Linked DNA regions of Schizosaccharomyces pombe. Changing the gene in region 4 together with the main gene of any one other region gives a genetic interaction. Each region holds a gene or a part of one and is shown on either strand. Other genes may lie near its edges.

Region 1 (8,626 bases), 940 kb from region 4:
CTTTTTTCTAAGTCACGAAGTTCAGACTTCAAACGGGAAATTTCTTCTTGTACCTTGGACTTAGAGGAAGAATTTAACTTTGTATCTAAAGTGTCTACTTGCCTAGCATATTCATCGGAAGAGACTTTAGCAGAGGTCAATCCAGTTTGGGCAGACGAGTAAGTACTGTGAATTGAGGATGAAGATGAAATCAAATCTTTACTTAACTCAGTCGTAGTATCAGATGATCTGGATACTGGCGTTTTCTGCCTGAGCGGCTTTTTTACAATAGGCATATCGACTTCATCGCCAAAACTGAGAACTGCTTTATTTCGTCGTCCGGATTTCAATAATTTGTTTCTTTCTTTCTGTTTTTCCTGGTGGGCTAGCTCATTGGCAATTTTCTCTCTTTCTTCTTTAGTTGAACGAGGTTTTATGTCAGTAAAATAATTGTCAATTACCTCTGTTGAAATTATTTTTGGGGGAAAAACAGGTCGTTGGTTGGCATCTAACTCTAACTCAGATATCCTTACTACATTGTAAATGGTATCCCCTACAACACGTCCAAATAGAGTTTGCTTGCCATTCCATTCAGGTGTTGGACCTAAGGTGATAAAAAATTGAGAGTTGTTTCCCTCATTTTCAGTACATGCCATTCCCACTAATCCTCTTCTTATAAACCGTAACCTAGGATGTGTTTCTACAGCAAAAGGTTCACCATATATAGATTCACCACCCATTCCAGTGCCAGTAGGATCTCCACCCTGTATCAAAAACTCTGGTACAACTCTATGAACAATGGTTCCATCGTAATAACTGTATTTAATTAGTATATTTGTAAACCCGAAGCAGTTTAATGTTGCAACATTTGGGACTACAACGTTGCTCATCAACGATTTAACTTACCCTTCCAAGCATAACTGTATAAAGTTTCTACAGGCCTTCGGCACTTCTTTGCACCAAAGTTCTATCTGGATATCGCCGCGAGTAGTTTTAAGGATGACAGTCCCCCTATAATGTTAGTAAAAGTAACTGGAAATCTGAAAAACATACGTTGCCAAAGGCTCCAAGTTGGTCAAAGTCTGAGAGATTAGTCGAAGGGAGCAAGAAAAATATACTTACGGCCATTCCATAAAGTACATCAAATATTAAGGATCGCTAAATTCTTAAAGAAACTACTCATCTTGTAAGTTTGCGTTGTTAGTATAATCCTAACGTATTACCTTGTTTTGCTTTAATTGGGTTATCAAATTCACTACGATACAGTATTTTAATTTGGGTGATTCATTAAATGTTCTAGCGTAGCTTTGCTCGTTCATCAAATTGATTTCATCGCAACTTGTTACAACTAGCAAAGTAATCCTTACTGAATCCAATATTGTGTAAAACCACGGAACTTTTAATGAGTTCTGAAATTACAGAAGGAGACTTACAGAAATTCCATGATGAGCATTTTAATGCAAAAGCAGTAAACCTATGGAATGTTGCTTTCGCGCAAAACGATCGTGGGGGAAATTCAGAAAGTGCAAACGTTGAGTATACACAAAGTGTAGAGCGCTATCCTGATGGGACTATACGAACGTTAACAGATGAGCAAATTCTTTGGTTCCGTGAATCGGAAAAAAGGGAGTTAATGTGGAAAAAGGAGAAGGAGCAATTGTTAAAAGAAAAAGAATTAAGACAAAAAGCACTGGACAAGGAGAGAATGGTTTCTTCCAAACCAGAAACCAACCCAAAAACACCAATCTCATTAAAAGAATTGAAAGATATCGAAATATATCAAAACCAGTTCCATTACTCGGCTTATGAAATTTTAGAGGAAGAAAAAATACTTGATAATATTTTTCGCAAGTTTACTGCATTACCTATCAAATATTGGCCGGCAACACCAATACGAGGATAGAACGTTTTATGAATTGATGATGTTCAATAGAGTAGAAAAATTTCCTGCATATTAATGAAGGATACGCTTAATATTCAATAAATGTCACCAATCTTCATGAATACATTATACATAAGTATATTGCATTTCTTCTACATTGAACTATGATTAATGATATATACCAATTCCTTAAAATAATTAAGGCTAGTGAAAGAATACGATAATTTTCAATCTAATACTGTTGTATTGTTTTATGCAGGTGCTGTACCTTGTAAAGTGATGAATGATACTACTGTAAACATCTAAATATTGGATAATATTATAATCTCCAAATAGTTTATAGCTGGACGGAAGAACGTAAATCCAGCTATGTTCTTATACGGAACCTAGTAAAATAGACTGGAAAATTATATCTGATAAAACAAAATGATCTCTAGCGTACCATAATATTGGAATTTGAAAGATATAGGATTTTCGATTCGTGATGATATATGTACTGCACAGTCTAGCACTATACTGTACTGATCGTTAAAAGTAGCTGTAAAATTATGTTAATTTTTTATTGTGTACTTCGTTATTTTTCGGAGAACTTCGGATATGTAGTTTCATCAATCGGTGAATTCGGTAAATACAACTAACCTTCTTAGCAAATCACAGCACCCACAAACGCCGCCATTTTTAAACCAGAGGCAGCTTGACGTTTCTTCCCCAACCGCTACCCACCGAATATTTCAACAACCTGTTTCTCTTTAAAACGTTGTAAAAATGCTGGCCAAGCAATTTATTTCTAAGTCGTTAGCATCTTCGTTAAGACGGTTGCTTCCCGTTTCAAGCACTGCTTCGTCGTTGAAGGGCTCAATGATGACCATCCCAAAATTTACCTCTATTCGTACATATACTGACTCTCCGGAAATGCCAGACTTTTCGGAGTATCAAACAAAGAGCACTGGTGATCGTTCTCGTGTTATATCTTATGCCATGGTAGGCACAATGGGTGCTCTTACAGCCGCTGGAGCTCAAGCTACTGTTCATGATTTCTTGGCGAGTTGGTCTGCATCTGCTGATGTGTTGGCTATGTCGAAGGCCGAGGTTGATTTGTCGAAAATTCCAGAGGGAAAGAACCTTGTCGTCAAATGGCAGGGTAAGCCTGTTTTTATCCGTCATCGTACTCCTGAAGAAATCCAAGAAGCCAATTCTGTAGATATTAGCACTCTTAGGGATCCTCAAGCGGACTCTGACCGTGTTCAAAAACCCGAGTGGCTTGTTATGATTGGTGTCTGTACTCATCTTGGTTGTGTACCCATTGGCGAAGCTGGTGACTATGGCGGATGGTTCTGCCCTTGTCACGGTTCTCATTATGATATCTCTGGTCGTATTCGCCGTGGTCCTGCACCTCTTAACTTGGCGATTCCTGCTTATACGTTTGAAGGAAGCAAAATTATCATCGGATAAAATTTATTTCGCTCAAAAACTTTTGTCCTAGCTGATTTCCTCCCTCCTTTTTCTCCCCTCTCTTTTACTTCTTCTTTAGCCTGTTGGGGATCAAGTCATATGCTGTCTTACTTGCTTCTTATTTTTATTTGTCCAATGCACTTTCTCATAGCCTTTGTTGGTCCATTTGGCTTATACAGCAGTCAAGATGGCAATTGCAGACTTCCTTTTTCTTGTTATAGTCATTTACTGATACAAACCCCCTTCTCATTCTCAATTAATGCAACCTTGAATCTCTTATTCCAAGACGTAAATCAATAATTTTGTATGTGACGCCTGATTCATGCAAGTCAGATGGTTCTTATTTTATCGTAGTCTAATGTAACTTTACTTTCCCTTTGGTGGTAGTTTCTTAAACCGCTAAAAATATATATAATCCTTGAGTACTCTTCTTGCCTTCAAGGTTTGTGAAATGCAAAAGTATCCCCTTATACTTGAATAAAAAAGTTGTACAATTCAAATATGTAGTTATTGTAGGTTTATCTGACAAGTATCAATAATAAATAAATATCTAGACAAATAAACCATTTTTTTTCTTTAAAAGTTCTTTATAGACAAACTTCTACAAATATGGAATCATGAAGCTGGCTTAAAAAGTTTGGTCATAAAGCTTTAGGATGTTTAATTCATTACAGCACATGACTGCTTAAGCATGCCTAATTCTAACTCATAATATTGTCTCAAAACAATACCATCCAACTATGCAGCAGTCGTTAATCGCTATCACGACATATTAAATAGCAGATATTTCTCGAAGAAATAAGTCCACAACCAAAAATCCTAGTGTGCTTATCAAAATTAACAAGAATATTTCACGTACGTATAAGACACGGTTGCAATGGCTTGAAGTGGAATACATATAAGGATTTTAAGATTTCCTTGCAAAAAAGGTACTTGACAAGTCCTGGAAATGAAAAGACAGTCTGAAGATTCGTATGCGGAGGATGTACAAAGTAGTCTTTTTAATCTTGAGTATTAACTCAAAAATCAGAAAGGTGGATAAATTTTTTGAAACAATCACAATCGATTGATCACTCATTAGAGAATTGAAACTTTTAAAGGAAGTAGTCTGGTGTCCTTCGAGCTATTACCGGTTCGCCTTCTCGTGGGGCAGGATCGAATTGTAAAAAGACTTGATTCATCGTATCATCAACTTCCAAAATAGCTGCTTGATTACCACAGCGATAACAATAATTTGGGGCAGAAAAAATTGTAACTACGTCTCCATCATGTGCCCAATTAAATCCTTCCATAACTAGCTGATGGGCTCGTGCCGTTAAACTTAATCCATTTGCGTGATTAAATGTCTCAGAAATGTCTTGTCCGAAGGTGTATCCGGCACCACGAGGAGAAATTCCCCAACCACATCTATCATCAGGGTCTGACCAAAGCAAATCACACATCGGACCTTCATGGGGAACTTCTTGTACACGATCCAAAGTCCGTACATGGTCTAATGAATCAATGCTCGGGGAAAGACCTCCATGTAGGCAGAAAATACGGTCTTCAATTAAAGCAGTTAAAGGGAAATAGTCAAATAAATTTGTGAAATGTTTCCAAACATTAGCGGATCCATATTTACGCAAACATTCATCATAAAATCCGTAAACTTGAGTGATTTGTCTAGATTCATGATTTCCTCGAAGAATCGTAATTCGGTTAGGGTAGCGTAACTTCATTGCAACAAGCAAACTTACAGTTTCGACGCTGTGATAACCTCTGTCAACATAGTCACCCATAAAAAGATAGTTCATATCAGGCACATCACCTCCAATTTTAAATAATTCCATCAGATCATGAAACTGTCCATGAATATCACCGCAAACAGTAACTGGATTTCGGACAGGTTGGACATTATTTTCCTGACATAAAACCTCACGAGCCTAGAAAAAATGGTTAGCAAAAACTGCGAAAACACGAAAAATGCTGGTATAGATGAGAGTCTCCGACGTAATTTTTAACCACCATATATTTATAGGATGAGATTTCTAGAAACCCGACATTAATGTAATATTAATCTTTTTAGAAATCAAACCGAAATAAGCTGGATAGTTCAAACTCAAACATATCAAACTGAACAATCTCAAGAAATCAAGAGAAAATGAGAACTTGCAAAGTTGGGATATATCCAACCAAGCCTGATACACATATATACTCTCCTTAGTGTTCACTTACCTTATCGCATAACATTTCAACGTCAGCTTCGCTCAGAGGCTCGCATTTTTTCAACTGTTCGATCCATCTGTCAACGTCTCCTAGAGTAGCGTCATTCGCCTCCGGAGCAAGCTTACTATCATTTGCTGGATCTATAGACATTAATTATGGAATTTTGTATATAGTAAAAAGCAAGTTATAAGTCTTTCTAACCGTGTGTTGCTTTTGGTAAGTTGAGACCGTTACAGAGGTGACAGGCTACTCTTGCGTATCATCAGCTTGCTAACAAGCTATGGCAAATCGACTTTATGTGTAAACAGCATAGCGATCTGGTATACAATTAATAATATAGAATATTTGCATTTCTTATTTATTGATTACTAACCTGGATTTTTCTCAACAGTTTGCGCTTACTATGTGAATTCACGAGATTGCTGTGTAGCGTTTTCTAAGGTACTAGAGAAATTACGAGCTCACTGGCATTTTTTAATAGAATGGGTTATTATTAGTCTTTTCGAGAAGAAGCGTACATAGTTTTCAAAACCGATGCTGTATAAAGTTTCACGCATAAATGCTGAGAAGTACAGTTTACCTATAGTCGGTGGAAAAAGATAATTCCACTCTAAATCGGACTTAACGACAATTCTTGAACAGTACACAGAGATGAAATTTTGGCTTAATAGCTTCACTCAATGATAGAGCTTGACAATTACAACGATGAGACCAAAAGCAATACGCTTCTTAAACACTTTCAAATAAGTAATAAACATTTTATATTAATCCCACTACTCAAAATGTATCACATATTCCCTAACCAAAAATCTATAAATTAACTAAATCAAATGCTTAACTTTGGCAGTAGTATCACGAGATTGAACTTCTTTGGCCATCGACTTCTTATATTCCTCAATGGAGCAGTCCAATTTCACAACCTTCTTGTCTTTAACTTCCCACAACTCTTTAGAAACTTGACCAATTAGACGGAAATCGTGAGAAACCAAAACAACACCACCAGTCCATACGTTAATGGCTTTGGCTAGGGCATCAATAGAGGTAATATCCAAGTGATTCGTAGGTTCATCAAGTAAAAGAATGTGGGGTTGTTCCAAAGCGAGTGCTGCAAACACAACACGGCTTTTCAAGCCATCAGATAAAGTACGGATTTCACTGGTTTGGTGAAGACCAGACAAACCGAATTTGCCCAAAACGCTGCGCCATTGCTGAAGTTCTCTCTCGGGAAATTTAGGCTTGTAAGTATCCATGATGTATTCAAGTGGAGACTTGTCATAGGGAAGCTGATCGGCACTGTGCTGAGAGTATTTAGCCATCTTCAATCCACTGTAACGAGAGACATTGCCTTCAATGGGAATCAAAAGCCCAGTGATTAAGTTCAACAATGTAGACTTTCCGGTACCATTTTTACCCACAATGGCGACACGGGAGTCCATATCGATACCAAAGGACAAGTCACGGTACAAAGCGTGATCAAGATTACCATCATAAGAGAAAGCAACGTCGTTAAAAGCAATGATAGGTGGTGGTAATTTGCGAACTTCATCAAATTCAAAGCTGAATTGACGAGGAGGTTCGGGCTTCTCAACTAAACCGGCAGCCTCCATTTTATCGATAATCTTTTGTTTCGACTTGGCTTGGCGTACCAAGTTTGCATAGGTACCAGCACTAGCAATAAACTTTTTAATATGAGCAATTTCCTCTTGCTGTTTTAAGTAAGCCTTCATCTGATTGGTTTCATTTTCTTCCTTAGTACGCATATAAATGTCGAAATTACCACCATAGTAGACAAGCTGCTTTTTAGAAGTTAAATCAATAATATTGGTACAGACGTTGTTGAGGAAATCTTGAGAGTGGGAAGTGACAACAAGAATTTTGTCGTATTTCGCTAAGTAATTCTCCAACCAAACAACGGCTTCTAAGTCCAAATGGTTGGTAGGTTCGTCCAAAAGAAGCAAAGAGGGTTTGATGAAAAGAGCACGAGAAAGTGCAACACGCATACGCCAACCACCAGACATGTCCTTTGTGGGTTTGGCCATCATTTCCTGGGTAAATCCCAAACCATGCAAAATCATAGCTGCTTTTGCCTCAAAGGTGCTAGGATCCATATCATCCAACTCTTCATACTTGGATTCTAATAGAACATCATCAACATCATCGGCAGTTGATAACTCTTCAATTTCGGCTTCCAATTTTTGAACCTTGTCTTTTGCTGACTGAATAATATAGTCGACAGCATTAACATCAGAGGGTTCAGCCTCTGCGTTCAACAAGTAGCTATCAATGTGTTCTGGATATTCCACATCACGAGCAGCCACGGATTCCAAGAATGTACTTTTACCGGAACCGTTATCACCCAAAAGACCATAGCGTTGACCATGGTTGAGTTCGATAGTGGCATTCTCTATCAACAGACGTCCGTGAAAAGAAAGGGTGTAACTGTCAATTTTAATATCGCGACTCATTGGTTGACTAGTTAAGACACCAGAAGCACTTCTTTCAAAAATAGGGTCGCTAGTAGAAAGTTCCGACAAATCTTTTGTGACTCCATCGACTTCTTTATCTTTTCCATTTTTAGTTCCATTCTTTTTAGAGGGCTTAACGCTCTCGCCTTTAGCAGCTAAGCGCTCAGCTTTTTTAGCCTAAACATTTGTTAGCGATTGAGCTTAAAAATTTTAAAAGCAATCGAAAAAAATTAGAAATAAGCTATTTATTTGACTTTTTTCTCTACAGCATTCATTAATAGGAACTTACCTCTCTTTTCAGTTTGGACGCTGATTTGGACGACATGTTGGCTAAGTACAGAATAATTTTGTCGAAAAAAAATTGACATTAGGAACTCCTGTGACGTTTTCAGATAAATTTACAGCAAATACAATAAATAAATATAGCGTAAAAAATTTTAATTGCTTAAAAAAAATACGGACCTTTTAATGGGCATGTTAAACCATTTTATGAGACTTATAACAATATAGTTGTTACACTATTTTGACAAAGAAAGTGTGTGCATTAATAAATAATTATAGAATAGTAGTGCTGGTAAGGGATTTAAATAAATTGTTAAATAAGAGAAAATTTTGTTTAACTAATTATTGTTCAGAGTTATGA
Region 2 (7,240 bases), 1.4 Mb from region 4:
GTTTTGAGAAGAATAGTAGCAAACCACCTAACTGATTTTTATTTCTACTTAAAAGTTCATAGAATTATGTGAATAAGAAATTAATCTAGAATTCTTATAATTGATTTTCATGGAAAGATCTCCCTCCCCCCAACTAGTAGACTTTGCTGCTAAATGCTTTGTTTACACACTTACCACCGACTTCTCCAATAACACCAACCGTATAAAAGCACCATAAGTCTCCTACTTGGAATCAGTAAAACAATTAATGGATTCGAATTACAATTATGTTCATATGAATAAACCGGGAGTAGTTTTGTTTGCCTCGGATTGGCTAAAAGATAGACTTCCAGTTGACGATGTCGAAGTGCGAGTAGAACACTTACCACCTGTTACAGAAGATGAGATGACTATTCAACATTCTAGTGCAAATCTAATCTTAATGAAAAACAAACAGCTTAGGCATGAACCGGCTTGGAAAGATTTGGAACTCGAAGATTTAGTTAATGCCTTTGCATTCATTCAAGGCTCTTCAAATGCCGAGGGTAAAAATACAATTGAAGATAATTTTGAAACAGATCCTTTCAAATCAGTCAAAGAAGCTCCAATGGCTCCTTTTCTTGAAGCGAACAGAAGGCATCAAGGAGAGCACGCTAGTATGCGGTATTTTAGATGATATACCTGAGGTTGTACGAACCAACAGTCGTTAATCCATTTCGGCTGTGAAAACTTAAATAAAGTCTACTCAAAAGTCATTGTATGTACACTTGTCCTAAAACGTGTACATTGACTTTGAAGTTTTTTATCGATCGATTCCACACTGATTATAGATTATCCAAACTTGCTATATCATTCTTTGATCAGAAAAAGAACAAGATGGCAGATTCGATACCCGTTAAGAAAAAAGGCTCAGCTAAAGGCCCTCCTTCGTTCGTAACGCCTGAATACATAGAGAAACAACGCCAAAAAAAACTTGAGAAAATGGGTATGAAAAAAAATTTTCGTTCATCTAGTCGAGCAACAATAAGAAGGTTGTTGTGAAACTTTTTTTAAGACCGAATCTCTACTCCTTTGTTTAATTTTTTGTTGCTCAATTTTATTAACTGATTATTAGCTAAGAAGGCTGCTCGAAAACCTATTGCTCCACCAAGCAATGCTCCACCCGAATTCAATACGGACTTTATAAAGCGTGAAATGCTCTCCATCCCTAATTATGCACCGTTTGAAACTGAAAAGTCTGCATTGGATATTACTATTATGACTTACAACGTACTTGCTCAGACAAATATTCGTCGTTCAATGTTTCCACACAGTGGTGAGGCATTAAAATGGAAAAATCGCTCACGAATGCTCGCTAATGAATTAACCTATTATTCACCAACTTTGGGATGTATGCAAGAAGTTGATGCTGAATTTGTTCCTAATTTCTACAAGAAGTTATTAGGTGGATTGGGTTATGAATTGCATTTCATAAAAGGTGAAGGTAAAACTCATGGAATTATGATTTTTTGGAAATCCTCTTTGTTCAAAAAGGTGCAAGATTTGACTATTTATTACGATGATCATGATGAATTACCAGGTAGAATGAACACCAAGAACATCGGTTGTTGTGTACGCCTTGAAAGGGTAGATGACCCGAGCAGAGGGTTGTTCTTGGCTACTACACATTTATTTTGGCATCCTTACGGCTCTTACGAAAGGTTACGCCAAGGTGCAATATTGGTAAAGGAAGTAAACAAGATGGCACAAAGTCATCCTTCTTGGCCTGTTTTTATAGCTGGTGACTTCAACACTGAACCGTTCGATACCAACTTTCCTGCGCTAACTACCCGCCCTCTATCCATCTGCCAAAGGGCTACTGACATTATAGAACGTAGTATGAATTACGTATTTGGGGAATCTGAGTTGGAAGAAAAAAATGCTAGTACTAAGACAGAAAATGATTCCAATGAAGATGACAAAGAAGAATGTCAATCCTCTTCTACCTCAAGTGTTCCCGAATCCACAGCTTCTACCCCAAAAAAGAGAATTTTGCATGTACAAAATGACTATGTACCTCACTACCGTTCTTTTTATCAGCAGCACGAGCAAAATCCCGTACTTTTCAGTCTTTATTCAGTGGGCTATAAACTGGTTCACCCAGAAAATGCAAAAAATACGTTTGATCATCCAGCATTTACCAATTGGGCTCATGCTTACCAGGGCCATTTGGACTACATATTTGTTATGAATCGTGATACCTCACTTCAAACTCCCGAAAATCAAGTCGTTGAAGGTATAAAATTAAAGGCACTGTTACGTGTGCCTTTACCCAGTGAGATGAAGGAAGCGGAGCCTTTAGAAGGAAGATATCCCAGCGACCACGTTGCTTTGATGGCAAATGTACAAATTGTTTAAATACTTATTTTATTATACGGTACACACAAGGTATGGTAAATCAATAAATAAAATTTCATTGTTGTTTATCCATTTAAAAATGCCAACGGCAAACATGTAACTTTGGTGTTTTCGCTTACTAAAAGCACACCCGTAAGCAGAAAAATTTAAGACAATTGAGGAATAGTCTCACCTTTCGTTGTGTCGATGATTCCTTCTTCGATACTCAACATACCAGTACTGCTGAGCTTTTCCACAACTTCTTCTGCATTTTCAACTGCCATTTTTCCAAGAACTACATTAATCTTGTCTAAATCATTGGTCATAAGAGCTTTTTGGAGGTTAGGAGGAAAAGACTCAAAAGCTGCACGAGCTTTTTGTGTCTCTGGATCAGTAGAACCTGCCTCCGGGATGGTGATGGAAAGTTTCGTATTAGGATCAACTGCACAGAGCTGGATTTGTTCTACTCCTTCACCGCTTTCAGCTTGTTCTTTGCTGATGGCAGCAGAACGTTCATGGATTCGGACATATGTATTATGAACATCCTCTAAAAATAGCCGCTGAGATTGGTGATTTGGGTCTTTAATTTTTTGAAAAAATATTGATAAACCATTTGGTCCAAGCTGTCTGCAATAGCTGATCAAAAGGGCTTGATGAACATATTGTTTTGCTAAGGACGGCTTCCCTTCTAGTTCAGCATTAAAGGCTTCCAAAAGAATAGCATCAGATTCTTCCTCATCTGCCAAGATATTTAAATGTTCTTTCAAAAACTCTTCCGATGAAGAATAATCACCAAAATCAATATTGGCAAACTTCTTACCATCTTCAGAAAGAGACAACCCTTCTTCATCTTCCGACTCATTCTCATTGACAGGATTTTTAGGGGCATTACCAGTAGAAGCTTGCTCTTTAGCGCCGGGAAAATCAGTAGGAGGTGTAGGGTTATTAAGAGATTCAATGACCTGGATGGTCTCCTTTTTGGTTTTAGTCTTTTTAGGTTTTTCAGGCTCCTTTTTCTGAACATAGGTGGAATCAAAGCCCAAATGCAAGTCTTCAGAAGTGATGTAATTTTTACTCTCAGCCTCTAAAGTATCATACTCCTTTTGTGCATCTTCTAGCAACTTCAGAAGACGCTCTTTGTGTGACTTTAATCGTCTCAAGCATTTATCCGAATCATCCATAGATTTTTCTTCGGTAGTGTCTTCGGCATCTTTAATTACTTTTAATAAAGACATAAGCATATGATGATACGACATGCCTCCAGGAATGGCACTATCCATATCTTCAGACTTTTTTGCCTCTAAAAATGAACCCAATAAAACATAAGGATCCGAAGGAGATTCCTTCTCAAGAACAGTCTCCATTTCGGAGATGCGAGACAAGAGTCTACGATTCATCGCCATTGCACCTTTGATATCTTCCATTTTTTGCTTTCTAACAGCCCGTTTTTCGTGGATATCACGTTGGCGCCATCTAATAAAAGACTTTTTATCGACATTTGGATGAACTGCATGTGGTTAATTTAATATGAATACAACCCGTAACAAACCTTCAATGTCACTAAATGTTGTTAGCATGAATTTATCAAAACGAAAAATAAATGAAGAAGGAAAAGAAAGGAATGTTTTGACAATGGTTGTTTATTAGCTAAAAGAACCCAATTGGCATCAAATATACAAACTGCAAATTAATGATTGCCTTTTTGAACCCAACATGTCCTTCAAAATGATAAAAAGATGAGTCTGAATTTTATTTTTGAATTTATTCCATCCTACTAATGAAATTTCATTTCGACTTCTTTTATTGTACTCCAATCAAAGGCATCATGTAGAGTATTTAACCATTGTCCTTACAGAGCCGATTTCCTCTCCAAACCGTATATTTCATACCTGTCATCACTAAGTTCTAGCTTATCCCTGTCAATTCTGTTAACTTCATATTCGCCTACTTAAAAACAAACTTATCAATAAACTTACCACTTGCTGTAATCAATTGCCATCTCGAAGCAAATTATAATTTCAAGAAATTTAAAAAAAGTAAAAGACACAAATGTCTTTGCTATTCTCGTCGATTTGACTTGTTGTAGAGAAGTGGTTGTGTTAAGGTAAATGAAATCTTAGTATGTACCAAAGCACCTACCTTATGCGAATGTAGAGTACTTCGTGGAAATTCTATCGAAACTACTAATACCGTAGAGAAGAGAAAATTTGATAGAACGAATACTAATAAAAAGTATATATTAAATAATTTATTTGTACATACTTTGCGCACCTTTTGTTGCCAAAAGCCTGTGTAAACCCCGTTTCGAAAAGATTCCGTTCATTTCCTTTGAAAGGCACATTCATGGATGGATCCAATACGTTTTGGACTTTCGAGAGTACCATTCGCTCACTGCTACAATAAACGCGTAATATTTCGAGCAAACTATTTAGTACCGTTGACTTGGTTGAAAAACAACGTGGCTTACAAAAGTACGAATACTCTATTACTTCCCACGCCAAATGCAGAATATTATAGTACCAGTAAGTTATCTTCACAGGTTAATGTGAGCCTAAACTCGTTATCTCAAAAGGCCTCAAGTGGTTCTAAGATATATCCTTTTAAAAATAGTTTTCCGTTACCTTTTTCTAGATCTATTCTTCCTATACGATCACTTGCTTTTTTAAAGTTGTGTGTGCGACATAATTCTACAGTTCCATCAAAAGATGAGCAAGCACAGGATATCTCAAAAATAAATACAAATGGTACATTACAAACACCAAACAAGAAAGTCAATGTTTTTCGTCTCTTCACACTAGCAAGGGGTCAGGGATGGAATTTTTTTATTGCTGGATCTCTTCTCTTAGTTTCCTCCGGCGTTACAATGTCCATTCCCTACATTGTTGGCAAAATCTTAGACGCTGGCTCGTCAGGCGATTCTTCTGTCACGCATATCATGGGAATTCCTTCTGGTACGTTTTATATTGGTTTGTTGGGTTTATTTTTCCTTGGTTCAGCTTGTAACTTTGGTAGAATCATCACCTTGCGTCTACTGAGTGAAAGAATTGTCAGTCGTCTTCGAGCACGCTTGTTTGCTAAATGCATGTCATTAGATGGAGCATTTTTTGACTTTCATAAACATGGGGATCTCATATCCCGTCTTACGACGGATTCGAGTATTGTCGGTAAGTCTTTATCAATGTACTTAAGTGATGGTCTTCGTAGCTCAGTTAGTGCAATTGCTGGAATAGGGATGATGCTCTACGTATCCATGAGACTCACTGGATATATGTCCCTAATTGTACCCCCAATTGCATTGGGAGCTTTCTTTTATGGAGAGTATGTTCGGAAACTTTCCAGGACTACACAAGATGCTCTCGGTGATTTAACAAGGGTTTCAGAAGAGAAACTCGCAAATGTTCGGACTACACAGGCTTTTCTAGGAGAAAGACAAGAAGTAAATCGTTACAACGATTACATTCGAAATCTCTTTGTCCTGGCAAAGCGAGAGGCTTTTGCTAGCGGTATTTTCTTCGGGTCAACAGGGTTCCTTGGGAACGCAACTGTAATCGCTATTCTTGCGTTAGGCGGAAGAATGGTTGCTGCAGGTGATATAACTGTAGGACAGCTAAGTTCATTTTTGCTGTATACCGTTTATGCCGGTGGAAGCATTGTTGGCTTATCAGGATGTTTTACTGATATTATGAAAGGTCTGGGAGCTGCTAGTCGGTTATTTGAACTTTTAGATGCTAAACCGAAGATAGCTCCAACCGTTGGGATTCCCGTTCCAGTCACAGTCGGAAAGGCAATACTTTCGTTCAGAAATGTTGGGTTTGCATACCCAACTCGTCCTTCAGCTTCAATATTTGATAACTTATCTTTCGACATTCATCCAGGCACCAATGTTGCTATAGTCGCACCTAGTGGCGGTGGAAAATCCACCATCTCACAGCTCCTTTTGCGCTTTTACGCACCTAGTAGTGGGAAAATATTAGCTGACGGAGTTGACATCTCTACATATAATGTTCATCAATGGCGCAGTCATTTTGGTTTAGTTGGACAAGAACCGGTTTTATTTTCTGGTACAATTGGCGAAAATATTGCTTACGGTAAATCTAACGCATCTCAAGAGGAAATCGAAGATGCTGCCAAACGAGCGAATTGTAGTTTTGTGCTTTCTTTCCCGGAGAAATGGTCTACGCAAGTCGGGACTCGTGGTTTACAACTAAGCGGGGGACAAAAACAACGCATTGCAATTGCTAGGGCACTTCTTCGAAATCCAGCATTTTTAATTTTGGATGAAGCTACTTCAGCATTAGACGGTGAAGCAGAAGTAATGGTGGATAAAACGATTCAATCTTTGATGCATAATCGTAGTATGACTACCATTACGATTGCTCACAAATTGGCTACTATTCGCCGAGCTGATCAAATAATTGTTGTTGGAGACGGGAAAGTTTTGGAGCAAGGGTCTTTTGAACGATTGTCTCGTCCTGGTACCAACTTTTACAAGTTAATGAGATGGCAGCTTGGAAAAGTTGAACCTTGATCGTAAACGTGAAGTATCTCTTGTTCGTTTTATTAATTTATTCATGCGTACTCTCAAGACGCAATTTTCAATCATATCTTTAAATACATCGGTACTCTATTCTTTTTTTTCTTCGCTGGCATATAAGATTAGCAAATTAATAATATTCAGTTCCGTAATTAGTTTGGCATTTAAAGAAAGGGCTGCGGAAATTGTTCCTTTAAGCAATATCAACTGAGAAGAAACTGTAAAATCTAAAACCCCAATAGCAAACTTAAGTTTGAAAGGAGCAAATATTAAAAGAGAGAGAATATATATTAATTGCACAAAATTCGTTACGCTTGTAAATCTCGACAATGAAAAATCGTCCAGTAGTTT
Region 3 (6,914 bases), on a different chromosome or scaffold from region 4:
TGAGGTAGAGGTTGATTGTCCAACACTTTCAAACCAAGAACATTAACAATGGCATGTACACCCTTGTCTGTTCTAGCAGCAGAACACATTCGGATCTTCTTGGGAGAGTCAGCATTCACCTGAACAACGGCGCCTACTCGAGCGAATGCTTGGAACAGTGTATCTTGTATGGTTTTGACATTGGCATTGTACTGCAAACCAGCAAAGCCAGTACCACGATAGCTGACAACACAGTAGACCATTCGTTTCCGGGGTTTCACCGAAATCGAAGAAAAGAAAACCCGATGTCGTTGGAGCAAGCAAAGCACAGATTGGTTGGCAGAGAACCTTGAAGGTCTTAAGAGACTATGCATAGTTTGAAAGATGAAATTAACTAAGCAAGTTTTTAATGAAAGAGAGGAAAGGTACTACAGATGGCATGTGCTCAAGCAAAAGTTAGGATATTAAAAAAATATTAAACTAAGGGTAGAAGCACTTCAACTGTTTTTCATGAACAATATAGAATATTACTATAATTTTTTGGAAAGAGCCCTAGCTTCCATGAATAGTCTTACCCACAATACCCTGTTGTTTATCTATTTTCTTTTACTAAACCAAGCTGTACATACTAGATACCACAAAGAAATACCTTGTATCTCCTTTCTACCCCTTTGAATGGACAATGAAGCCGAAAATTTGCCGTTTTTAGAAGGTCCTTTTTTTTCAACTTTTATCGAAAATTAATTTTTTTTCAGTCGTTTCAAAGGTCAACCTACAAAACTAATTCTTTTCGTTAGCAACCGCTTTCTTATCAATCTTTGCTTCTTTATTTACTGTTCTCTGCTAAATTTTCGTTGATTTATTTAAAATACCTTCTAAACCATACTTTTTCTTACTACCCGGGTTTTGACAAATTTTTTTCTATGCAGCTCTATCCGGCAAATGTTAAGGGATTGAGATATAGTGAATGTTGCATCTTAACCGCTAACCCATCGGTTCAACATTTTGTCATGCATGATGATGCTGGTGTTCCTCTAACGTACAGCGTTTCCACACTGCACGCCGAACTTACCGACCACCTATACCTCCCAACCACCAGGAAAACAGTCGCAGTAGGCAAGAAAACGCTTTTTGTAGTGCAAAAAAAAAGATTTAAGCCGGAAACATAGCAGAATAGCAGAAATTTGATATTTACTGTTATCATCTCCATTATTATTTGGATTAGTTTTCGATTGTCCTTTCATTCATCTAATAACGCTTGTTTTTCTTTTTTCTTTTTTGCATTCTCAGTCTTGGTTGTTTTGCTATTTATTGCGTTCCTCGGTTTCTCCCTATTAAATATTTTCTTTTCATTGTTTTTACGGAAATTCTCATTTTTTCATCTTAGGGGCTCGTTGACTCAGCCTGCACGACAAGGAAAATTATATCCGTTTCGGAAGCACAACGTGTGTGTTGAAAGTCTTACTTTTCTTTTTTATTTTTCTGTACCCTTTCATTGAACTTTAGCCATTTGTTGCTTTGTTGAATTTTGGCCATAAATAGTTTTTCAACTGGGTTTTTATTCGACCTCCTTTCATTATTCATTTCATTTTCATATCTATCCATTTCTATCCCCACTAAACAATTTTGTGTTTTTAGGATTTCCCTATTCTCAATCCATAAAATAGTCACGATTCGTTTTCATTCAGATACCCGGCTCCTTATTTTTTTTTTTTTCGAAATTTTATTCACTCGTTTGATTTCGTTGATTCATTTCTTCCGCCTTTTACTCATTACTTAAGGGTATTTGCTTATTAAACGTTTGGTCTTTTTTTTTGCCCATCTTTTTGTTCATACAAAGTTTTGTGACATTTATATAATATTTAGTCTCTTCGTTTTTGTGTGGGTTACCTTTTTTGTTTTATTCTTTTTCTTTTTTTTTTCTCTTTCTTCCCTCTTTGTTTTTTCTTCTGACCCTATTTTATGCCTTATTATTATTTTGATCAAGTTTCAATCATTTTTTCACAAAGATTTCATATTCACTTTACTTCTTAGTTTTTTTCTTTTTATTTGAAATTTCTTGGAATCTTTTTGCCTTTTTTCTTTTAACTTGATCTCTCTTATTTAACGTTACTTAGAAAAGCTTCTTTTATTTTGCTTTTCCTTTCATTCTTCGCTCCTTTATAAACCGTGTTCATACTTCTTTTGCTTACGTTTTGCCAATCTTCCCAGCAATTTTACTTCTATCTTGATTGTTCTTGTTGTTGGATATTTACTCTTTGTTGATAGCGGTATATTTTATTTGCTTCTCACTTTTTGCCCGATTGCTTTCCTTTGATTTACCTCTCCAAAAAAAAACAAGTGTCTTTTGTTTACTTGTTTGTATATTTGTTTATACTCTGCTGATTGAAAAGTTGATTGTTTATTTTATTTTTCCATCTGCAACCATTTCTTTTTTTTTGAAAAAAAAAAAATCGCTAACTGATTTTTTTAAGCATTTCGAATACCTTCGAAGTCTTTTTATCGATACTTTTGACGATTTCTTCCTCATAAGCCTTGCCCTAGACTTTTTGTTAGCTCGGTATTTTTGCATATTTCAGTCATCTTTTTTTCATTTTCAGTTTGTGTTTTTTGCTTCACAGTTGTATCTGTCTCTCTTTTAGCAACTAGAATTATTTGTGGTGGTCAACAGTTTACCCTTTGCTCTCGTTTTCTTGAAGTTACAGTCTTTCTTTTATTATCTTCGTCCAGTATTCTAGGTTGTTGCCCTTCTAATTCTTTCGCGTCAAGTATTTGGATTTTTCTAATACTTGCTAACAATTTTTACTGAATTTTTTATTTTTCTTCATTGCCCTTGCTTATTTTTATTACTTACACACTTTCTTTTTAGTCGACCAACTAGGTTTCTAACTTTTTACTCCACTTATTAACTATTTCGTGTTATTAAGCTTGAAGCCTCATTTATTATCGTTTGGGGTTTATTTAACAACTACTGCTATTTCATTTGTGTTTTACTTTTAGGCATCTATTGCTTATTTTGGTTACTTTATCAACCACTTTGTCATTCTTTTTTCTCTTCTTTTCAATTACCATTATATATAATTTGCAAAATGTTTGTGGGATCACCGAGCGCTATTGAAAAGCCTTTATCGTTATCCAGTAAGACCAAAGTCGGGGACGAAACCGAGTTTACTGAAGATGCGCTACGTGGTTCATCGTTGGTTCCAACCGGTATTCTGAATGGAGATGATGAATGTCATGCTCTTCACATGTCTCCTCAGGCTATTCACAGCCAAGCTGGGAAAGCTGAATCTGACGGTTTACCTACTTATGCATCTGTGGAAAAATCCACAACTCCGATTGGTAGACTCCTCTCTAACCTCAACGGTGGATTAGCCTCTGCTCCTCCTAAGGTTGGATTCGGTTTTCCTAGATATTATGCTTTGCGGATTGAGGATTTACCTAGGGACTTAACACCCAGAGAGTTTTTATGTACCTTTTTATTCGCTACGAATGTAGTATCCGTCGAGCTTAATCCTGTATCCGTGGATAATGAAGTTGCTCATGGATTGGCGGTGTTTTCATCCCGAGATGCTGCTGCATCTGCTAGAGACACTTTGCTATCTAGCGATGTTTATTCCGCGTGCAGCATGATAATTTTAGACAATTATCGAAAGGGAAGTCAAACAAATCTTAGCGACGAAACTGAGGGCTCTGAGAGTAGTGTTTCATTTAACAGACTGTCTCGAAACCATTCTCCAACTCGTCCACTGTTAGGAAATCGTGATCTTTTCCGCAGGTCAAGTAATCATGTGTCAGCCAGTATGCCTACTGCAAATCATTCGGAATCTGCTTATCGTCATTCAAAAACACCTTTGGGTGATAGCACTTTTCAGGCTCCTAACAATGGAGGTAGTTTGCATTCCGATAGGTTGTGGTCTTCTTTCCCTGTTTCTTATCCTTTAACACTCGCGAATGTGTTAGCCAAGGATGAAGTTGGTTCACCTACGTGGTCACCCACTCCTTCCAAAAGTAGTACCAATTTGCGTCAAGACGGTGTTCCTCCGATTTTGCGATTTAACTCATTATCTATTAACACCAACGTGGCGCGCAATTACCTTTCATCTGAAAAGGGTTATAGCGCTCATACCCAAAATTCTAGTGCTCAATCACCCCATCCTCGTGTCTTTTCGGCAAACAGTGCATTCAGTACAACAAGCCCTCCTCCCTTGACACCATCAACATCAAGAGACTACCCATTTTCAGCTTCTACCATTTCACCTTCCACACCATTTTCGGCTTATTCCTCCAGTCATGGAATTCATCAACGCATCCCTGCTTCTACCCCCACGAATACCAACCCTGCTGATCAAAATCCTCCTTGTAACACCATTTATGTTGGAAATCTTCCTCCTTCTACTTCCGAGGAAGAGTTGAAAGTTTTGTTTTCCACTCAAGTTGGATACAAAAGACTTTGTTTCCGCACTAAAGGCAATGGCCCCATGTGTTTTGTTGAATTTGAAAACATTCCATACGCCATGGAAGCCTTGAAGAATTTACAAGGTGTTTGTCTTAGCAGTAGCATTAAAGGTGGTATTCGTTTGAGTTTTTCGAAGAACCCATTGGGAGTGCGCTCATCAAGTTCATCGCATAACAACCATAATGGAAACGTTCGTAACCTTCACTCTGGTTCCATGAATAATTACAATACAGACTCTTTGCTTAATCATACTGGTGGACATAACGAAGTCCACGCCAGTCCCAGTTGGGGTAATAATCTAATGTATGGCAAATAGCTCATCTAGCATTTTCTCGTCTTCATTTTATCATTATTCATCAATACCTTGCAAGGACTTTAGGTCCAAATTTTTTAAGCATATTGTTTCTCTTTTTTTTTTTTTGAGTTTTGCATATTGATTCTTTGTTAATCAAAAGTTGCGATCTATTCCACTTTGACTGCATGCAACTTTAACCATCTGTTAAGCTTAATTACAATTTGTCGATTTATGCGATCTGTTTTATTTCACTCTTATATAAGATGGGTACTTGCATTGTTTAGTTGTCATTAGGATTTATCATTTGCTCATCATTTCCATATACTTCTGCTACACATATCAATTTACATAATAATATCGACTTTTGCTTCTAAATGAACCCATCTTAAATTGCTAAACAAGTACTGTAACAACTTGGTTAGATGTATTTTTATTGTAACACCCAACTTAAGCTTACATACAAGAATTTTTAGGATACATTGATAAGCAAACACTTAATCCTTTTATAAATATTAGTATAGTCTAGGTGAATAAAATATTTCCAACAAAAACTGTATAATAGTAATCCCGTCCTTTCCCTATTAAGTTGAAATTGATTTACTTTTTTTAAAATTGCGAGGAACTTTAGGCATGCTTCGTCCTTTTCACAGGCGGCTGTTTTGAAGTGCTGTAATATTCTGACTCCGATTCTGACTCTGAAGAAGTTTCAGAAGTTTCCGAATCCAAACTTTGACGTTTCGCAGCTTCATCTTCGACATTTTTGGGTTCTGAATTGCTATCGGCCAACATAGCTACCATACAGGTAATTCGATTGCCTTCTGGAATGTTATGCTCAATTACTAAGTTCCAATCTTTATCCCATATACATACTGAACCATCCGAGCTTGCAGTAATTAAATAATCATCAACAGGGTAGACAGATTTGACGCTAACTTGATTAGAAAATTTTGAATTTTTAATTTGTTGAGTATAGAATATAAAAAGACACTTACCGTTTCTTATGCGCCGTAAATTCATGTAAAATCTTCCCATCAGAAGTATCCAAAACCAGTACTGTTCCATTATCTCGTCCAACTATCAATTTGGATTGATAGAGACACAAAGCGTTCAATTGAGATTTAGAAGAGAAGCTGAAAAGGGAAGTGAGATCCTAAAAATGTATTAGTAATTTATAAAAGAAGGAGGAAAATTGCATATAGAAAAATGCATAAATTCTTACCAATTTAAAGGCATCAATGCCTCTTCGTGACATAATAACAAATGACGACTCATTCAGGAAAAGAATAGATTCTGGGATAGTGCTTAAAGGTAAAACTTTACCTCCTTTACCTCGTACAAGGTCCCAGAGCCGCAACTTTCCATCACCTCCAACTGTTAGGGCCAATTTTTCTGAAGGGTGAACTGCTATACCAGTGATGCCCTTATGAGAAGATGACTTAAGAGTATGAACCAACAACCATGAACCTTTAGACCACATACTGATTTGCCCGTTATCATGACATGCTAAAAGGTGATTTTTAGTAAAACACATATCTCGGATACATGCATTGGCGATATCTGTAGGAACAGAAACATCGGCTATTTGGACGTTACGAGTGTGATCGAAAATTCTGAAACGATGTTAGATTATGCTTAAAAGGATAATTAAATACAAGGAAGGAAGAATGAAACCATTTAAGTCCAGTTTCATAATTCCAGTTGCAAATAACTTACTTAATTGTTTCATCACTGCTAGTAGAAGCCAAGTAAATACCGTCGACAGCTAACGCGGTTAAAGCTCCTTCATGAGCTTCAAAAAGCCACAAGGGCTTGCATTTTTTCCTCTCAATGTCTGCATCAACACCGTAAATGAGGTGAGTATATGTTCCAACTACAAAACGGAGCATCGGTGACTAAAGTATGACAATTGAAGCCTAAATCCAGTTATACAAAACCCAAAGTAAGTTATAATAAGCACCCGATCCTTTTGCTTTTTCTATTATAATTTAATTGAGTCCTAAACCACAAATTCTCAAATACCAAGTAAGAAGGAGAGAGTAGCAAAGAATTTGCAGGTGTAATGAAATTTTAAAGTAACAGCAAGAAGTTTCACTTTATGTTTTTCTTCAAAACCAATGAAGAAAGATTTTTAAATTGCTGAAATTGATTATAGAGAATGAATATTAATAATAAATACCTTAT
Region 4 (9,351 bases):
TTCTTATCAAAAAAGGGAAAAAAGCTTCGCATAATGGTAGCAGGATCTAGCTACACCAGTTACCAAGCTTGTATCAATAGCTTGTGCAGTAAACAAATACTGGAAGCTGAAACAGAGATAGATCCGCTAAAAGCTCATATTGATAGAATACTGGAAATAAGGGAATTTAATGCTGGTGAGTTATTACGGTTTTAATTTTCGTGTGCTAACTGTAATTAGATATTTTAGAAGATGAGTTCCATGTTGACCTTACGGTCATTGAAGTAAATGGTTTCGGAGATAAAATTGATAATTCAGCTAGGTAATACCAAAAGGTATTTTTCTAAATTAAAGCTAATTTCAATGCATTAGTTTCGAGGTAGTTACTCATTATTTGGAAAGCCAATTCGATCAAGCCTTGATAGAAGAATCTAAAATCAAAAGAAATTCTAAATTTACTGATACGGTACGAAATCTGCAAACAAAGTTTTTCCGTCCTTAACTATTTCAATCAAGTTACTTCCATTACTTGATTTAATGTTGTTAAGTAGAAAACCAAGAGAACACATTGGTTTAAGAATGAGGAATGAAAAAAAAGTTTTCTAACGATATTTTAGCGCGTTGATGCCCTACTTTATTTTATTGCACCCCGTGGACATTGCCTGTCTGAGTTTGATTTGGAAGCCATGAAACGGTTTTCAAAGCGCGTAAACGTAATTCCTGTCATTGGAAACTCCAACGCTTTTACTGAAGAAGAATTAAAGAACTTCAAAGATGTGATAATGAAGGATTTGAAACAATGTAACATAAAGGTATTTGACTTTCCTTGGGATCCTGAGGAGGATGAAGACGAAGTCATTGAGGATAACAAACGACTTTGGGAAAGTGTTCCATTCGCTGTATCTGGAGGGGTATCAGAGGAAGATGAAGAAGGATATCAAAGAATCGTCAAGAAATTCCAATGGGGAACATTCGTAATTGATGATCCTGCACATTCTGATTTTCTTAACTTGAAGACCGTATTGTTTATTTCTCATTTGGATATACTCAAAAGTATAACTAAACAAACCTATTATGAGAATTATCGTACAGAAAAACTGTCCAACGACTCACCTTCGAACACATCATTGTAAGAAATTAACTATGCATAAGCGAGCTAATAAGTTAGGTCATTGCAAAAGCAAAATTCCATAGTTGCAAATGAAGATAAAAGAAGTGTAAATGGTTCTGAGAGAACGGAGACTCGATCTTCGATTGATCAATCAGAAATGCGAACTAATGGTAAGTATATGCATTCTCTCATTTTCGTGCTAATGAACGCAGTCTCCGATTCTACAAAATCTGAGGAGTTAAAGAAAATTAACTCCATCAAAGTTGACAACACCAGCAGTCTTAAATGCGATTCTTATGGAAATACTAAAACTAAAACTAATCAATTAAACTGTGAACAAATTGGATTAGAAGTAATATCGCCAAAGGAATTTCCTCACAGAACTACATCAAGTCGAAACAGTCTACCCAACAATACGACAAAGGAATTGGAGATGAAGAAAATGGATGATTTGTCTCATGAGCGTTACGAAAACCTCCCTTTCTATCGCTAAATTAAACATTTGAGAGTGCAAATTATAAACAATCAAAAGAATAATTTAGTATAAGTTCATGAAAAGTCTTTTGATTTCTTTTTAATTGCTTAATCATACACCTACTTCTCTACCTATGTCCTTAACATAAGCATTCATTAGACTACTAGATTACCGCACCCACACGTGCATTGTTATGACCTACTTGAAACGATGAGTTAACTGAGGGCTGCCGAACGTCTCGTTTGGTATTTTTAAATAAAATATTAATTTACAAATTCATTTAACTGTTGATTACTGAGTAATGAGTCGAATCAATCCAATGCTCATCATTACGTCTTTCAGGTTGAGTCGTAGATGCGTAAACGGTCGTTCATCGATTTAGGCATTCGTGAGCATATGATTTTGGAAATTTCGTTTCTTTCAAAGACGTTATGATTACAACTATGCAATTTTGAGGTTGCTAACACGTAACTCTTTATCTAAACAGAATAAATGATGAGGTTGTTCTGAAAACACTCTTTTTTTAGTAAGAAAATAAAGAAGAAGTACATAAAAAATCAATCAATTTGAAGTCGTAACTAGGCTTCTTAGCTTCAGCGGCTTGTCACTAATGACTAATTATCCTTTTTTTCGCCAGGGGACAATTTTCGTGGACAATTCAGCAATTCAAAGGAATTCAGAGAATAAGAATAGTCTTTCGATTGAAAATATTTTTGGGAGATTTCCTAAAGAGTTCTTCCAATTTTTTTCAATAAATGTTTCTAAATCAACAACCAAGAAGTCTTCCGTCGTTATAAAGCCAAGTACAATTACTGCACCATGGTTAGAAAATGAATACTTAGACAGTAATACTAGCTTACTTTCCGTTCATTCAATTCAACCTTCGTTTATTGGAATGTCTGACTTCGCAATTGGATTAGATCCTTCACTGAAGCGTATATTACCCGAAATAAGATTTCGCTTAGACTTTCAGCATCTAAAATCAATAGCTAAAGGGGCCACCTCTACAATCAAGGTTGTAACTCACAGAGATAAAATCACCGACGCAAAGATATACTATGCTGCCAAAGTATATCGGAAAACGAAAACATCGCATAAAAAAAGATTGAATACAATGGTTTATTTTTTAAGGGAATGGTCAATCCAACCAAAATTGGACCATCCTAATATTCTGAAAGTTATCTGCCCTTGTGTGACTTTGACAAGCGTATTTAATAAATCCGCTGGGTTTTGTTTGGTTCAAGAGTACTGTCCTCAAGGCGATTTATTTAAGCAAATTGAAGAAAAAGTTTTGACCTTAGAAGACAAATGTTGTTATCTAAAGCAAATTCTTCAAGCAGTAGCTTACTTGCAATCTCAACGTATTGCGCACCGAGATTTAAAGCCGGAAAACATCTTAATCGGAAGGGATGGATTGTTAAAGCTCACCGATTTTGGTACCAGCGAAATTGTGGGTAATCCTGGTGATAACGAATCCATTCGTTTCGTATCGGGTGCTGTTGGAAGTTTGGCATATCTAGCACCAGAAGCATTTCATGAAAATGGTAAGTCTTATGTGTATAAATTGTGTAGCAAGACGAGCTCTATCCTATTTCAAAAACGACGTACTAATAGTTCAATTGATAGAATATTGTGGTCTTTTAGCAGATAGGTGGTCATGTGGTATTTTGCTTAAAGTTCTGTTTACTGGATACTTTCCATTTAAAACTTCCGTGAAAACTGATCTTTACTACTCAAAGTATATGTCAATCCTTACAGATACTTGTGGTATTTCTTCAACTGATGAATCCAGTTTCCAAACCGAAGTCATTAAACAAATACCTACATTGCAGCCCCTCAGATATATACCTGAAGGTGCTAAGAAGATTATACTAAGTTTACTGAATCCTGATTCCCAGAATCGGCCGTCGTTGGATAGTATTTTAGGTACTGCATGGGTACGGAAACTGGATTGTTGCAGTAACTTCTCTACCGATCATGAAAATAAGAGTTTACAGGAAGTTGATTTTGATGCTTCTAAACCCATTACAAGGAAAAGTTTGATTCCTCGGATTCATAACCATCAGACACTTGTTTAACGTAGTTTAAATCACTGTCTTTTCTACTTTACTTTCCAAGCTAAAATGAACTCATTCTTCCTATGTACATGGTGTTTCCACTGACATTACTTAACCAACGGATTAGTTCCATCCTTGCCAATATTTTTTATATGTCTGTATAATACGCTTTTTCTTTTATACGAGAATCTTTGTTTATTAATGATTTTATAAATAGCTTAATTATTACTATTTACTTCTTTTGAGTTTATAACATGCAAGTTCAGGTACCGTACTAAATGTGTATGTACACTATAAAGTCCTTACTTCTTCAAACGCAGCAAATGCTACATCGTAAACAAAACCAAATTGTCTTTTCATTCAAAATTACAAATAAATTCAATTTTTAATTTGTAACTTATTCAATAGTCATGCACAATATCCAAGCATCTTCCATCGTATGCTAGTATTTAATGTTAATAGCCATTGGATTTTCAATAACATATTCAGACTCTTGGGGATTGCTTGGGCAAGGGTGCCTTCGGTGCAGTATACCGTGGTCTAAATATAAAGAATGGAGAAACGGTGGCTGTAAAAAAAGTTAAACTATCCAAAATGCTAAAATCTGATCTTTCCGTCATTAAGGTATGAAGGGATCTCAACTATTTTTCTCTAACAATTTTTAGATGGAGATTGATTTGCTTAAAAATTTGGACGTATGTTACTCATTCGTTTATAATGGTCGCCAAATACTAAACGTGGTAGCATCCAAATATTGTTAAATATAGGGGATCTTATCAGACGAACGATTCTCTATGCATTATTCTGGAGTACGTGATTTTCTTTAAAAAATTGTTTTCAAGTTAACGATATATAGATATTGCGAAAACGGATCGTTGCGCTCAATTTGTAAAAACTTTGGAAAGATTCCAGAAAACCTAGTGGCCTTATATACGTTTCAAGTATTACAAGGGCTACTTTATCTACATAATCAGGGTGTTATCCATCGTGATATTAAGGGTGCCAATATACTTACTACTAAAGATGGCACTATCAAGTTAGCAGATTTCGGGGTTGCGACGAAAATTAATGCTTTAGAGGATCATAGTGTTGTTGGAAGCCCCTATTGGAGTAAGCCTTTTCTAAGCGTATAGTTATAACATTACTAACAATTTATATAGTGGCTCCCGAGGTTATAGAGCTTGTAGGCGCCACAACAGCCTCAGATATTTGGAGTGTTGGCTGCACAGTTATTGAACTGTTAGATGGAAATCCTCCCTATTATGATTTAGATCCTACGTCCGCTCTTTTTCGGATGGTGAAAGATGAACATCCTCCCTTGCCTTCAAATATTTCTTCGGCTGCTAAAAGTTTTTTAATGCAATGTTTCCAAAAGGACCCAAATTTACGAATTAAGACCAGAAAACTTCTTAAACATCCTTGGGTGATAATGAACCAAACCTCCTCTAAATTTTCTGACGCTATAGACGAGGTTCAAAAATATAATGAAAGAGTGAAAGAAAGCACTTTGACAGCTATTATCGAGCCTACTTCCAACAGAATCAATCCGACTCTTCATTCTGGCAGGCAGTCTTCTTATCACATGCCTGAGTCTCCAAAAACACCAATTGCCGAGTCCCCAGGTAGCTTTATGATACTTTTTAACTACTCTAACATTTTTAGATCATGATAACTGGGACAATGAATTTCAAGGAACCCTTAAAATCAGTGACGATGTTTTAAAGAAATCTGAGCATTTTATGGATTTTTGCAGTAACTTTAAAGGAAAAAATAATTCCAGCTCCATAACATCATCCCCTTCGAAGTCTCGCCATGCTTTTAATTCAGATCAAATCTCTGAATCAAACAACTTTAATGCATCACCGTTGAGTACTCCTCTCAAAGCCCAATTTGATCCCTCTAAGGTAAATAATGCAGCTCGATTTTCTAGAGCTTTTAATGATTTTAAATAAATAATTAACCTTTTTTTTAGCCCGCTCTCAACCGGTCAATAGATCATCAAAAAACTCCGCAACATAAAAGATACTTGTCAACTGGTAAGTATCTGATACTAACATATAACTAATTATCTAGAGTTTAAAGAGAATATACCAGACGGAATTGAAAAATTTGTCGAGACACCCAGAGATAGTGAATTTACTGATATTTTCCCTACATCCTCAATCAAAGTTCAAGGATTGAGAAAGGAGACTGGACTGGGGACTTTGGTTTTAAACAAATGTTATGGCTCGTGGAATAATGAAGAAAATGAGGATGGGGAAGAATCGGATATCTTTGACTCTATTGAAACAAACTTAGAAAACTTGGATATTGAAAACAACATTGCTTTAGATAAGAGAACGCATCTAGCTTCCTTACTTTCCAGTCTGTTAGGCTCACTACGTGACAAGAATATCGGATCGAAGGATACAACTGTTTCGCAAATAGTAAGTGCATATTTTTATATTGATAATTTAACTGACAATAGGCTTCTATACTTAGTGAAGATCTTTCTCTAAAACGAGAGATAATACAAGCGCATGGTATCCTTCCACTTTTAGAGACATTGCGCGAAATAAAAACGCCTGATGTTCAATTGCTGTTATTAAAGCTCATTAACACTGTAAGGATATTTAATGCGTGATTTTACTAACGTTAGGTTGCATTCGATGATCACACAACTTTACAAAAAGTTTGCTTTGCTGGAGGTTTACCGCTTATGTTGTCATTCTCTAATCGTGAACACTCTTTTGAGTTTAGATATGAAAGTGCTATCTTTATTCAACAGATGTATAGAACTTCTGCTTTGACATTACAAATGTTTTTGAGCTCAAATGGTCTGAATTCGCTTTTATTATTTATTAAAGAGGACTATGGAACGAACCGTGACTTTGTTTTTGTTGGCGTAGAAGGAATATGGAAATTACTGAGACAACAGGATTACATTCCAAAAAATGATATCTGTACGATGGTTGTAAATGATTCACTAGAGCCCTTGACCAAAGCCATGCTGAAAGCTTTGGCTACTGACGATGATTCTTCAAGAATGTCATTAACACGTATATGTGAAATTTTATTGGCTTTATCTCAGGCTGATAATTATGTTAAGGAATCACTTCTTTGCGAAAGTGCTCTTCGAAGGATATTGCGTATTCTGCTTTATCTGCCGCATTCTGATATGGCGATTACCTTACAGTTTTTCAAGCAACTTTCAATGGTTCCTTCATCTTTGTCGCTTCTTAGGAAAGTTCATATAATACCTCTTTTGACACATATTCTCGGTGACAGCAAAATTGAGAAAGGACGAAAAGAAATTAGAAGCGAAGCTTTGGCCGCTTTATTCAATGTGTGTAAGCTAGATAAGAAATCGCAAGAAGAGGCTGTTATTTCTGGTGCTATTCCATTATTGCAAGAGGTGATTATTAAAGACAGACTGTTTAAGGAGTTTGCGCTGCCGATATTATTAGCTTTGCCACAGGCTGGTCCAGTGTCGAGAATTTATCTTTGGCAAAATAAATGCTTAGATTTTTTTCTCTCGTTATTATCAGATCTTAATTGGCAATCTGCGGTATTTGATACGATCGCATCTTGGTTGCAGTTTGAACTCCGTGAAGTACAACGTGTTTTGGCAGAGAAGAGAAACGTACAATTAGTGTTAAAGGTGTTCTGTATTTCTCAATCAGCTTCCTCAAACAGAATGCTAGATACTTTGGGCAGGGTTTGTCAAATTTCCCCAAGATTGGCAGCCTCTTATGGCCAGCCTATAATATTCCAGAAATTTAAAGAAAAGTTAACTCATAAGGGGACCAAGCCGATTGTGGTCCTAAACATATTTCAAATTATGAAATCAATGTGTGAAGCTAGTAGCCAAAGTGTTGCTTATATTGCGCATTGTGGTTTACCAGATGTGGTTGCAAATTTGAACCAAACAAGTGATTCTGTGCTTGTTAAAGAACTAGCAAAAGACCTGCTGAAATACCTGAAGGTACCACAGGGTCCCATCAATGAGCACAAATCCCCCATTTCGAAACCGCATATGCCTCCACCTAGATGGCAACCAAAGCAGCCATTAACGCAGTGAACACTATTAAACGCATTTCCCAGTGCACGACTATATTACTTGTTTATGATATTTCTGTATTTATGGCTTAATGATTAATAAATAAGGTTGGGATTATGGAATCAATATTTTTTAAACGAAAGTTTTGCTAATTTTAATATTAATATATTATCATTCCATGTGTAAGTACGTTACCAGTTGTGTTTATACCTGAAATACAATCTAATTGAGTACCGCAATGAAGACTATTTATTTACCGAATCTATATTGATGAATCTTAGAAACGTTAAGAGAAAGGTTTATAATATGCTTATCACAGTGTATATTTATATTTATTCATTCAAGTGCTTCGAATTTTAAAATCTAGGTGTGCATAAAAGTTAACTTCACTATATCAGTTAACGCTACGATAGTGCAATACAGGAAGAAATATGCACTAAAACAAAAGGACAACAATGATTTTTATGCTTCTCATTTTTGGCTATTAATTTGCTGCTTTGTTTATTGCATAAATCTTTTTTGACTGTTTGCATTTCAGTAATTATTAATTTTTATGTGGAAGGAAAAATCACTTTTTTGATATTTCTTATTAACGTCGAGTTGCTAAACAGTTTATATCTATGTCAGAAGTAAAAAGGAATATATCTTTGAGAAATTCAACAAACATTTTTACTTCTACATTTAGTTTATCTTCAAATAATGTCCCAAAACCGCTGATTGGGGAGTCAGTTATAAAATATGGAGACGAGGCTTTTGTATATGGAGGACGCGATGCATTAAATGCGCAGCTTGTTAATGATATGTATGTAGTTGATCTTAACACTTGTTCCTGGAAGCAAGTTGAATATCAAGGAAATCAAAAGCCGATACCACGGTATTTCCATTCAGGGGATTTATGGAATAACAAATTAATATTCTTTGGTGGTATGGGATTTAATGATGATACAAAATGTCTTTATGTTCTTAACGACATCGACATATATGATATTGAGACTAAGCAATGGTCTCATATACCTGGCATGATAACAGAGAATCAGACAAATGACGATGCTAAAGAAGTCAATGGATCTGATGTTGATGAAAAAAGCAAACACTTATATCCATCAGCACGTTACGGACATTTGCATTGCGTGTTAGATCATTATCTTATTATATTTTGTGGGCAAGATTTATCAAACAGCTATATTGAAGAGATAAATATTTTTGACCTGGATTCGGGAAAATGGGTTTTTAAATCCCTGTTCAATCATCACTGTGGTATATACAGATCGAATTGTGTGGTAATAAACAAAGATAGTGAATTTTTACAGATGTGTCGACCAATTAATACAACTCAGGATTCTAATGAGCACTCTATCGGTTCTTTGTTTTTTTATTTAAATTACAATTTTGTCAATGTTAAGAGGCAAGTAATATACTTGGAATTATTTGAATTAGATACTGCCGAAAGTGAAAAAAAATCAGCCGCTTTGGCAAAAGATAATAACCAATCTTTCCGTTTCCTAGAGCTTGATGTTACTGAAAAATTCTTAAGTTCAGCAATGCCGCCGGGACTAAGGTTTCCTGCTGTTAACATACTTGGAGACAACTTAATATTATCTGGAATCTACCTTACGAGCTCCAGACAGGCATTCGTGCTTTGGGTCTATTCTCTTGACAAGGAGCTTTGGTTGCAACTCGATATGCTGGG

What was found.
Region 1: of cdc7 (region 4) and ppa2, a mutation in one rescues a mutant of the other (synthetic rescue), as found in Schizosaccharomyces pombe (one study listed by BioGRID).
Region 2: mutations in cdc7 (region 4) and cdc37 impair growth when combined (synthetic growth defect), as found in Schizosaccharomyces pombe (one study listed by BioGRID).
Region 3: of cdc7 (region 4) and scw1, a mutation in one rescues a mutant of the other (synthetic rescue), as found in Schizosaccharomyces pombe (2 studies listed by BioGRID).

What each region holds. Positions count from the first base shown.
Region 1 is NC_003423.3:2,284,059-2,292,684, reverse strand, and holds ppa2 (serine/threonine protein phosphatase PP2A catalytic subunit Ppa2), read right to left. Parts: upstream 5,734-8,626; 5' UTR 5,669-5,733; coding exon 5,528-5,668; exon of another isoform or gene 5,367-5,527; intron 5,236-5,366; coding exon 4,408-5,235; 3' UTR 3,314-4,407; coding exon of another isoform or gene 2,627-3,313; 3' UTR 2,240-2,626; downstream 1-2,239. Other genes in the region: cyclophilin family peptidyl-prolyl cis-trans isomerase Cyp7, read right to left, coding at 1-795, 886-990, 1,033-1,061, 1,102-1,107; protein gem8, read left to right, coding at 1,382-1,882; Rieske iron-sulfur protein, ubiquinol-cytochrome-c reductase complex subunit 5, Rip1, read left to right, coding at 2,627-3,313; SPOM_SPBC16H5.08C (ATP-binding cassette sub-family F protein), read right to left, coding at 6,340-8,160, 8,273-8,308. UniProt on the Schizosaccharomyces pombe protein: Essential role in cell cycle control. PP2A may be involved in controlling the entry into mitosis, possibly acting as an inhibitor.
Region 2 is NC_003423.3:1,828,303-1,835,542, reverse strand, and holds cdc37 (Hsp90 co-chaperone Cdc37), read right to left. Parts: upstream 4,457-7,240; 5' UTR 4,355-4,456; coding exon 4,332-4,354; intron 4,272-4,331; coding exon 4,245-4,271; intron 4,168-4,244; exon of another isoform or gene 3,916-4,167; coding exon 3,905-3,915; exon of another isoform or gene 3,863-3,904; coding exon 2,523-3,862; 3' UTR 2,413-2,522; downstream 1-2,412. Other genes in the region: anaphase-promoting complex TPR lobe accessory factor Apc13, read left to right, coding at 248-655; SPOM_SPBC9B6.11C (CCR4/nocturin family endoribonuclease), read left to right, coding at 739-964, 1,094-2,376; mdl1 (peptide-transporting ATPase), read left to right, coding at 4,703-6,883. UniProt on the Schizosaccharomyces pombe protein: Co-chaperone that binds to numerous kinases and promotes their interaction with the Hsp90 complex, resulting in stabilization and promotion of their activity.
Region 3 is NC_003421.2:670,408-677,321, forward strand, and holds scw1 (RNA-binding protein Scw1), read left to right. Parts: upstream 1-3,068; coding exon 3,069-4,754; 3' UTR 4,755-4,844; downstream 4,845-6,914. Other genes in the region: pus3 (tRNA pseudouridine synthase), read right to left, coding at 1-353; SPOM_SPCC16C4.21 (uncharacterized protein), read left to right, coding at 903-1,148; p21-activated protein kinase inhibitor Skb15, read right to left, coding at 5,358-5,661, 5,726-5,883, 5,953-6,343, 6,447-6,619.
Region 4 is NC_003423.3:3,221,112-3,230,462, reverse strand, and holds cdc7 (serine/threonine protein kinase SIN pathway Cdc7), read left to right. Parts: upstream 1-3,957; 5' UTR 3,958-4,032; coding exon 4,033-4,059; exon of another isoform or gene 4,060-4,111; coding exon 4,112-4,246; exon of another isoform or gene 4,247-4,287; coding exon 4,288-4,317; exon of another isoform or gene 4,318-4,366; coding exon 4,367-4,431; exon of another isoform or gene 4,432-4,478; coding exon 4,479-4,732; intron 4,733-4,782; coding exon 4,783-5,244; intron 5,245-5,284; coding exon 5,285-5,526; intron 5,527-5,594; coding exon 5,595-5,658; intron 5,659-5,695; coding exon 5,696-6,048; intron 6,049-6,089; coding exon 6,090-6,224; intron 6,225-6,260; coding exon 6,261-7,682; 3' UTR 7,683-8,112; downstream 8,113-9,351. Other genes in the region: meiotic septin Spn7, read left to right, coding at 1-175, 220-301, 352-445, 597-1,108, 1,148-1,260, 1,303-1,583; serine/threonine protein kinase Ppk24, read left to right, coding at 2,176-3,109, 3,192-3,643; Ras1-Scd pathway protein Ral2, read left to right, coding at 8,282-9,351. UniProt on the Schizosaccharomyces pombe protein: Protein kinase essential for cell division. Plays a key role in initiation of septum formation and cytokinesis.